Linked DNA regions of Nothobranchius furzeri. The protein of the gene in region 1 interacts with the protein of each later gene in a pairwise test. Links are inferred from orthologs where the notes say so. Each region holds a gene or a part of one and is shown in the gene's direction. Other genes may lie near its edges.

Region 1 (3,662 bases):
TATAGTCATTCTAGACTCGTTAAGCTTTGCTGGCAAATTTCTGAAGAGAAAAATGTAAAAATCAGAACTTTAAATTTCACACATTATCTTTGAAGGGTAATGTTCCTCTTCACAGCGTCTGCGTAAATGTACGAGGTGTGCACATTATTTAAATTTGAACATTACATTTCCTTATTTAAAGCAGAAATTCAGCACATCTGTTTAATGTTGAGGAATGTGGCACAAAAATGCAGCACAAGCTCAATTTGAGATGATTCTAAATTTTCTTTATTCATTTATTTGCAAAACAGCAGGCCACATATTCTAGAACAAAACATAAGAATATATTTTTATTTGCCTTTGACATGAACAGTTTAGATGTTTTACTTGCATTAATTACAGACAAAGCAAAGGAAGACATGATGGGCAGATAAAACTACCAGCAGGTGTTTTTATCAGCTCAGCTCCTGCAGCAGATGGACTCATTAGTCAGTCACGACCATCACGACCCTCTGCACGACTCACAGACCAGCAGCTCTGCTGTCGCTTTAAGACCCGTTTCCCCTCATTGTGAAGCGCTGAAACAGGAAGAGAGAAGCGAAAGCAAAGCCCGAAGGGCCCCAATGTATTTAAACGCGCTGCTGCTGCAGCTGCTGGCCACTCGGACACGCACTACTTCCTCCCCGCAGAACCCTCCTTATCGAACCGCACTGGCGCGGTTCTTCTAGTCGCTGTGGGACCTGCAAGGCATGGAAGTGTTGCTGCCTCAGGAAATGATGACAGCGTCCTCCTCCATCGGCGTCTAGCTGATTAGAGAGGGAGCTGTTCTTGTTCTGCATCTGTTGGAAACAAGGGAGCTGCTTCTTGAGTTCGCTTTTTATTTCCAGCGATCTGAAAGTGGTTTTTACCAGGGGTGCAGGTGCAGCGCGCCTTCCAGTATCCAGATCAGGCTCGAGAATGACTTCTACCATAGAGAGGAAAACACTGGAAGCAAACGAGTAAGTCAACTAAAATAAACACATTCTATCAGAAAACTATCCCACGTGCAAGACGATGAGATCAGATGTTTCTGCTTATAATATTCATAAAGAAAATTTAAGGAAAAATTAAAGAAACGGATGTAAGGTAAAACTAAACTAAACTACATGTTTAGAGTCAGATGTTGCAGCCATAATGGGAACAGGAGTTGTAACATAAGTGTATTAAGGCACACTGTAAAGGCGTTGGACCAAGGTTGAAACTCGCTTTACACTGGGAATGCTGGCCAGAGCATTACTTAAAGCCCCTCAGAATATAAAGAAGATGAGTCATAATTGTAGTTGTGCGCCTGGCTTCTTTATTATAGCCCATAGGTTAGGACAAGTAAATCAGGATAGCAGTTGATAGACATGATAGCTCATGGGTGTGGTTTTCCTGCAGAATGACAAATATGACGTATGTATAACTTAACCTTATTAAACAATTAACACACATCAGAATATTAACCTTCCGCCACCACATCATCAGTTAATAACCATACTAAACAGTCAGAGGTCACTAAATCATCATCATCTGCTCACATAAAGCCACTATATTAAGGTTTGTCAAGTTAACCTTGACGTCGTCGGTCAACTTCCGGTCTGTAAACAAAAGAGTGCTTTTATTTTCCCGACTGGGTACTTCCGGTGGCGGGTTAGCTTAGCTCAGATACTCTGAACCAACTCCCATTCCCGCACTGTAACAACACCGCTGTACTTCTCTACATTCCCGTATACTCATACAAAGCACATTCATGCCTCCTCGTACGACACCAGCAGACCAGCGCCGATCGGTCCCGAGGGAAGGTATATCAACAGCGTTTTCACAGGGACAGGAAATGCATAATAATTAACTCGATAGCCATAATCAGTCCAACATTGCACTTACTGTTCATCCACGCACACACTCGACCATGTCCCGGTGCTATCCCCCAGGCAGCAACATATCGCAGAGAGGAACCCGGGACACAAACTAGAGCTACGTAAACCTCGAGAGATATGAACCTAAAGCCATTTTATCTCTATCTCTAGCTGGACTTCTGGAGCAGACTTCCGGCCAACTACAAAATAAGCGTAACAAAGGGAATGTTTTCCCAAAATGCAAGACTTTGAGGGCTTTTCTACAATAAGCCAAGATCAAAAATCCATTCATTTTTGTCTGCTTATCTTGGGTCAGGTCATGGGGGGTAGCAGCCCAACTAGAAAGTCCCAGACTTCCCTTTCTCCTGCCATTTGGGCCAGCTCTTCATGAGGAAGCCCAAGGTGTTTCCTGGCCAGACGAGAAACATAGTCCCTCCAGCGTGTCTTGGGTCTTCCTGTCTTGTAGTTGGATTTACCCAGAAAGCCTCACCAGGGAGGTGTCCAGGAGGCATCCTAACTAGATGCCTGAGCCACATCAACTGGATCCTCTTGATGTAGAGAAGCAGCGGATCTACTCCAAGCCCCTCCTGGATGACCGAGCTGCTCACCCCATCTCTAAAGACACCCTGCAGAGAAAACTAAATTCGGCTGCATGTATTCACAATCTCATACCCAGAGCTAGTGACCATAGGTGAGGGTTGGAACATAGATTGACCGGTAAATTGAGACGCTCAGCTTCCGGCTCAGCTCTCTCTTCACCACAACAGACCAGTACAACGCCCACGTCACAGCAGACGCAGCACCAGTCCACCTATTGATCTTGTCCTCCATCTTTCCCTCACTCATGAACAAGACCCTGAGACATGTAAACTCCTCCACTTTAAGCAGGACCTTGTCCCTGACCTGGAGAAGGCATTTACCTTTTTCCGGCTGAAGATCAACTGTTAAAAGATAGAAAAGAAATATTAAATATTACTTGCATATTTTAAAATAAATGTTTCAAAAGTTCTGGAAAAACATCTTCGTTGTTTGATCCGATCAAGTGTTTCAAGAATCCTTTTCACATTTTTAGTAGTAGCAACATATTATTTTTCATTTTTTTAAAGAAAATTCCTAAACAATATTCCTGATAGGTGTGTATGAGTCATATCTTACATCCTTTACTAACTCAGGACCAGTGGTGCTGCAAGATTGTCATGGGGTTCCAAGCAAACACTGCAGACTGGAAAGTGTGCTGCAGTTTATTTGAGCGTGGGAGTGGGGGGTGCACAGACAGAAATGTGTGGCAGAGCAGTGAGGGGGAGGAGGAGTGCCCTGTTGGGTAGTGTGAGACAGCCCAAGTTATGTCAAATTACAGCTTTTCACAGTCCCATAGAGCTCCGGGAGTTGACGTCACATCTCCCGGCATGCAACAGTTCAAATCGAAACGGCGCCATATTGGCATGCAGAAGCCGGCAGCTGGACTATTTGTTATTGTCAGAAAATTCAATCAAACGGGAAATATGGTAGATTCCTGTTGTGCCCCAGGATGCAGAACAGACGCGGACGACATAAGGAATGAGTCATCTACAGGATTCCCCAAGTTCCGGAGCGCCGCAAACGTTGGATCATTGTAATAAAACACGTTAGTGACCGGGATAAAATGAAGCTGTGGGATCCCGAGAGTAAAGGTTTTCGCTTATGCAGCGACCGCTTCATATCAGGTACTTAAACAACGTGTCCTCAACTGTGTATGGTATTTATTTTAAATGCTTTTATTACGATTCTTAGTGGGCTTCCTAAACTTATTTTGGCGTGGCTTTTTCT
Region 2 (2,655 bases), on another chromosome or scaffold:
AAGCAAATACTCTTGCATGCGGCTCGATGCAGCCCCAGTTGGAGTGGCAGAGTAGACACAGAGGTCGGCCTGCCGGCCACCGTGGGTCCTCTGGGTGGGCCGTGCTGACAGGGCCCAAATGCTAAGGTAGCAGGGGGTGCTTTCTGGGGAGCCCCTGGCCAGCGCCCCTTCTCACAGCAGGATGAGCTGCCGCTTTGCCTCTTGAATATTCATGGCCGCATGTCTATGACAGGGCAGCTCTTACGAGGATGTCAGCAGCAAGAGGGAGGGAAGGAAGTGCCACGCTGATATGGTCACAGTTTCACACACCATGCACAAGAGATGAACTGTATTTACATTTTCTCGTATGGCTAGAGAATATACTTATTATTCTTGTTATTTAGTACTTCTCAATACTTTTCAGCTGATGGTGTTTGTTTTGTGCTTTAGACATTCCAGTGATTCCAGACCTAGATGAAGTCCAGGAAGAAGATCTAACGATGCAAGTGGCTGTTCCACCAAGGTAGTGAAGTCATTCAAATCAGTCCTTATTACATATGCGCTCAGTCCCTCCAATCATGTGAGTGACAGTTAACCTCTGACCTCGAACAGGACTCGGGATCAGCATCCTGCTCTGGTGACATTGATGTTACCCGTCCTCCGATCACGCCGCTGCACTGTGCCTTCCTTTATGTGACTGAAATGGAGAAATAACAGTTGGATGTGATTTATGCGACTCCATTCCCAGAATCTGCACCGAGCTGGCTCTTTGATTTACAGGGTAGTGAGGGACACACCGACATGTGTCGACTATGTAGCAAGGCTATGACAGTGGTGGAGGTTATTAGGCTGGGGCTTGCACTCTGTGCGAGATAATATCCACATTGAACTCATTGCAGGGGCAATGTAGCGTGTAATGTGCAGTAAGTAGGACTGGCATGCACTGCTAGGCCCCGGCCACTTTGAGAACCCCCCCTACTTAATTCCAACCCGCAGATAAGCAGCTGGGTTTCAATTTGAGGCGTTTAACTCTTGGCAACCATCTCCTGCTCTCTGTGGTCTTTGCTTGAAGTCTAAGAACCCACTGGTGCACAAACTTTCGCAGATCGTAAATATGAAAGTGTTCATTCTGTTTGTGATGTTTGTCTCTTTTAGCATCCAGGTAAACCGGGTGATGACCTACAGAGATCTGGACAGTGATTTGAAGCATTTCTCTGCTTTCCAGACCTTAGTAAGTCGAGGACATTTATTTTTATACATCTGTACCCCCTTTCTCATCTTTTCCTCAAGGTGGTCTGTTCAGTTCTCTGACCAGTATCACCTCAGTTTGTGCAAGCTAAGGGAATTTCCCTGCAATCTTTCTGCAGGATGGAGAGATTGACTTGAAGCTCCTCACCAAGGTTTTAGCACCGGAGCAGGAGGTGAGGGAGGTGAGTAAGTTCTTAGTATATATAGCTTGTGAGCTTCCAGTGCAAGTCTGCCCAGCTGTTTCGACAGCACCAGGGGAGGCTGCCACTCTTGTCTCCCAGGTAATCAAGATTTATGATGTGTACATTAACACCCTCTGCTCTTCTCCCCCCATTCTCCTTGTCTCTGCTCTCTGTCTCGGTATATATCCGTCCCTAATTCTTCTTTTCTCCCTCTGTTCCGTGACTATTTTTCTCTGCAGGATGATGCGAGCTGGGACTGGGATCATCTGTTTACTGAAGTGTCCTCAGAGCTCCAGATGGAATGGGATCAAGGAGAGGATAAGGAGTCGGAGTTGGGACAAAAGGGTCAATGACTCTGGTTATTTAAAATTGAGTTAAATAATATTTTACTTTTATAAATGCATTTTTACACAATTCTCTCTGTACAGAACCTTCATGTTGTCTTTTGAACACTCAGTTGCTTTGAGTGTTTTAACCTAGCCCTAACCCTCTGAACAAATGACATATAGGTAAAATGCCCTCCTTGTACTTGCAACATTATCAACGTCCACCTACAAGTCCAAGGGTGATAATCAGCTAAGCTGAAATCCAGTTGATTGTCTTCAAATTAACATTCTTCATTAAACCCTACAACCTTATTGTTATTGACCGTGCCATTGACTTTATCTTGCAGTCCTTCGATAGGAGCAACCCCTTCTTCACTATTATCTCAAACGCACTGAACAAAGTTTCTATTGACACCTGGGGGATTAGCATACATTATAAGTCTGGACAGCTGCCGCACTTCATAAAGTAAAGAGCCAATTCCTAATGAACAAGAGTATTTTTTTATTTATGTTTAAAACAGAACATTGGCTGCAATTTTCTGTAATTATATACACCATTATTACATTGTTTGTCCTAGTGTCAACAGCGGTATCAGCATTCCGGTTTGTCTTTGGTTCATGTGTGTGAATATAAATGCAGGCCTCCAACGTCCAGCCAGGTCTATTAGGGAAACAGCTGTAACATTTACAGATTGTGATTAGGTTTATTTCTCAGGCCCAGATCAGTCTCATGGTATTTGGTGATGCACAGCAAAGTCCTCAAGGACACACAGCCTACGCATCGAACCGCTCAATCTCTGCCCATCACAAATAGATCCAGATTGTTTTATTTTTTTTCAGTTGGTGAGCCTTGAATCAACTTCATCAAGCGTAATACCTCAGGATGAAGCGATCACTTGGGATATTTGTGCTCAGAATAT
Region 3 (3,101 bases), on another chromosome or scaffold:
GAAGAATCTGCATGTTTCTAGCTTTTTTTTTCTTTCACAATCCGTTGTTGAAGTGCGAGCTGCAGCAGATTTTCCGGTTTGCGCCTCGCTTTAGGCATAGCGGAATCTCAAAACGATTGTCTGCTTCATGATCACATGACGTGTGACACACGGGTGAAAATCAACTTTAGGGGCGTCATGTTTACTCCAGATGCGCAAGCGTGTTCCCAAGTCTGCACCGTTTAAAAAATAAAATAAAATTGACAACTTAAGTTGTGAATGGCAGCGAGAAGTTGGATTTAAAATGTCCACTTTAGTAGTCGATGGAAGTGAATGAGTTAATTAGCATAATTTATTTTAATGACTTAGCAAACCTGACTTTTAATGATATACATTGCTAAGTTTTCTGATATTGTGTGTGTTTCCCCATAACTAGGAGGTCTAAGTGGTGTTGGTTTGGGACTTGGACCGGGTGGTCAGCCTATTGACACACAAATGCTCAATAGGGGAAGTGGAGGGATGGGAAACGTGGGCCCAGGAGGTAATCAACTCAAGTTTTCTGTTGACCCTTAAATATAAACACTAGTACTCAATCAGTGATCTCAATTTCAGGAATGGATGGAATGGGATTTAACAACATGGGAGGTCGAATGGGAGGCGGAGGAGGTGGAGGAGCTGGTAAGTCTGATTATTAAATACTTAACTATTTTTTATTTACAAATACCTTCTGTACTTCCTGAAGTACTAAGACCTGTGTTGTTTTTAGGTATGGATAACTTTGGCGGAATGAACAGCATGGATCGTTTTGGCTCTTCTGGGATGGGACGGGTAAATGGTAGGTAGAGGTAGACTCACTTAAAAAACCACAAAGCCAGCAATGACCTCATTGATTTGGTGGATGTTTCTGATGGATTTATCTTTTTTGTTAGATATGGACCGTGGGGTTGGTGGTGCTTTTGACAGAGACTTTGGGCGAAATGAAATGGGAATGTCTCGCAATAATTTTGGAGATTCGTTTGATAGAGGAATGGGTCAGTACTCCAGTATTTTGTGTATGACGGCCCCTACTAAATGTCTGTTCAATCAATTTAGTCACACTGTGTTCTTGTTTTTGTTTGTTTGTTTATGCTTATAGGAAATACCCTTGGGATGGATCGAATGAACACTGGAGGGGATCGCCTAGGAGGCAACATTGGAGGAATGGACCGTATGGGTGCGGACAGGATTGATCGTGGGTCTGACCTGGACAGGCTGGGATCTGGGTTTGATCGTGCTGGCTCTGGCATGGACCGGCTTGGGCCCACCATGGACAGGCTTGGACCAGGTGTAGACCGCATGGGTTCTAACATGGATCGCCTTGGTCCTGGTGGGTTTGATCGTCTGGGCCCATCTAATTTGGATCGTATAAGTACCAGCATGGACTTTGGCTCCCAGATGAGCATGGATCGCATGGGCAACACTGGACTTGACAGAATGGGGAGCAGCTTTGATCGCATGGCGTCTTCTGGAGGACTTGACCGCTTTCCTTCTGGTGGCCTTGACCGCATGGGCTCTGCCATGGACCGGATCGGATCTGGAGGTGTTGGTGGGCAGTTTGATCGCTCCGGTGATTTAGATCGTGGATTTGGTGGGAATTCCTTTGGAGGAGCTGGAGGACCTGGAATCGGGGGAGGCAACATCAGAAAGGGATGTCAAATCTTTGTTAGAAATGTGAGTTTGTTTCCTTCAATTTAAGTTGGGCTTGGTTCATCCCAGAAGTTTAGCTTTGTTTTATTTTCAAACTTGGATTTTGTTTTCCAGTTGCCATTTGACTTCACCTGGAAGATGCTGAAGGATACCTTCAATACATGTGGTAAGTATGGCTTTTGTTTTCTCAGAAATAAAAGAATGCTTGGTTTCTGATCTACTGTAAGGAAGCTAATGCATTATCCAGCTTGACCTTGTTTTGATTAAAGAAAACCTCAGTCCTTGAAACATTAGACTGCAGCTCATAACTTTAAAATAAGGTTTATTCAAAGAGCAAGATCTAAACAAGCTAACTGAGCAGAAAATGTAAAATTTCATGTTGGTGCTTTTCTGTTGAGACATGTCTTCTCGGAATCTATGCAGGTATGGTCCAGTATGCTGATATAAAGATGGAAAATGGCAAATCCAAGGGTTGTGGTGTGGTACGTTTTGACAACCCTGAAACTGCTGAGCGAGCCTGCCGGACCATGAACGGCTATCGTCTGAATGGGAGAGAGATTGATGTTAGGATTGATAGAAATGCATAATTGTATTTGTGTTGTATTTGCCAGTTGATTTGGTCTTATCTAAACACTGCATGATCAAAACTGCATTTCAGTGAAATCTATTCAGTAGATGCTATTTTAGTTAGAAATTTGTATCAGTGGATGTTTTTAGTTATTTCTTAGATTGGTATTTACATTTTAGAGGCCAAACTTTTAATCACAGTTCAGTTTTTTTCTGTTACTTTGTGTTTTGAGATGGTTTGATAAATAAATCTCAACATAAAAAATCTTCTGACTTGTGTTTTTACAGATTGAGTTTTACGTTTAAATAAAAATTCGAAGTGGAATAGTGAAGAAGAAAACATTTAAGTACAATTAAACTATAAATTGTATATTTTTTATACAGACGTTTTTAATACGTGTTAAAATAATGGCATATATAAACGATTCATCTCAAAAGACGAGTTGCTTGACGCTTCATCGTCCCGGAAGTGAAAGGTCAGAACCGGAAGAAGGTCTCTACGGCATTCATGATGGCGGTCCCCTTATGTCGGTGTTATCAGGTGAGCCCTTGAGGTGTTTTTACAGTGTATTATTTAAAAACATGAAACAACTGATGGTGGAACCTATATAAGTTAGTTTGCCATTGTTTAAAAGTCATTTTCTGCCCTGCTAGCATTAGCTACGTTAGCTCAAATGCGGTATTTTAATCCTATTTGGACCAAGTATTGTGTGCTCAAAAGGTTTCCACTTGTCTGACATCAATACTGTCGTGTATTCTGTCCAAGATTTCCCGAAATGTGGGAATGTCATTGTATTCGGTTCGGAAGTAGTTGTCTACATTAATATCTTTGTGTGTGTGTCCGTCCATGTCCAGATGTGTTTAAGAAA

Evidence for each region.
Region 2: the proteins of lmo2 (region 1) and intraflagellar transport protein 43 homolog interact in binary tests that used the Homo sapiens proteins (3 or more experiments, as listed by UniProt). The two-hybrid records come from large-scale screens. The link is inferred for Nothobranchius furzeri from reciprocal best matches to the Homo sapiens genes LMO2 and IFT43.
Region 3: the proteins of lmo2 (region 1) and hnrnpm interact in binary tests that used the Homo sapiens proteins (3 or more experiments, as listed by UniProt). The link is inferred for Nothobranchius furzeri from reciprocal best matches to the Homo sapiens genes LMO2 and HNRNPM.

Annotation. Positions count from the first base shown.
Region 1 is NC_091744.1:61,983,645-61,987,306, forward strand, and holds the start of lmo2 (rhombotin-2), read left to right. Parts: upstream 1-790; 5' UTR 791-936; coding exon 937-977; intron 978-3,662. UniProt on the Homo sapiens protein: Acts with TAL1/SCL to regulate red blood cell development. Also acts with LDB1 to maintain erythroid precursors in an immature state.
Region 2 is NC_091758.1:32,622,489-32,625,143, forward strand, and holds the end of intraflagellar transport protein 43 homolog, read left to right. Parts: intron 1-429; coding exon 430-502; intron 503-1,134; coding exon 1,135-1,210; intron 1,211-1,346; coding exon 1,347-1,409; intron 1,410-1,648; coding exon 1,649-1,762; 3' UTR 1,763-2,047; downstream 2,048-2,655. UniProt on the Homo sapiens protein: As a component of IFT complex A (IFT-A), a complex required for retrograde ciliary transport and entry into cilia of G protein-coupled receptors (GPCRs), it is involved in ciliogenesis.
Region 3 is NC_091748.1:58,534,077-58,537,177, reverse strand, and holds the end of hnrnpm (heterogeneous nuclear ribonucleoprotein M), read left to right. Parts: intron 1-415; coding exon 416-520; intron 521-591; coding exon 592-657; intron 658-745; coding exon 746-814; intron 815-908; coding exon 909-1,010; intron 1,011-1,114; coding exon 1,115-1,689; intron 1,690-1,779; coding exon 1,780-1,831; intron 1,832-2,088; coding exon 2,089-2,252; 3' UTR 2,253-2,497; downstream 2,498-3,101. Other genes in the region: timm44 (mitochondrial import inner membrane translocase subunit TIM44), read left to right, coding at 2,741-2,773, 3,088-3,101. UniProt on the Homo sapiens protein: Pre-mRNA binding protein in vivo, binds avidly to poly(G) and poly(U) RNA homopolymers in vitro. Involved in splicing.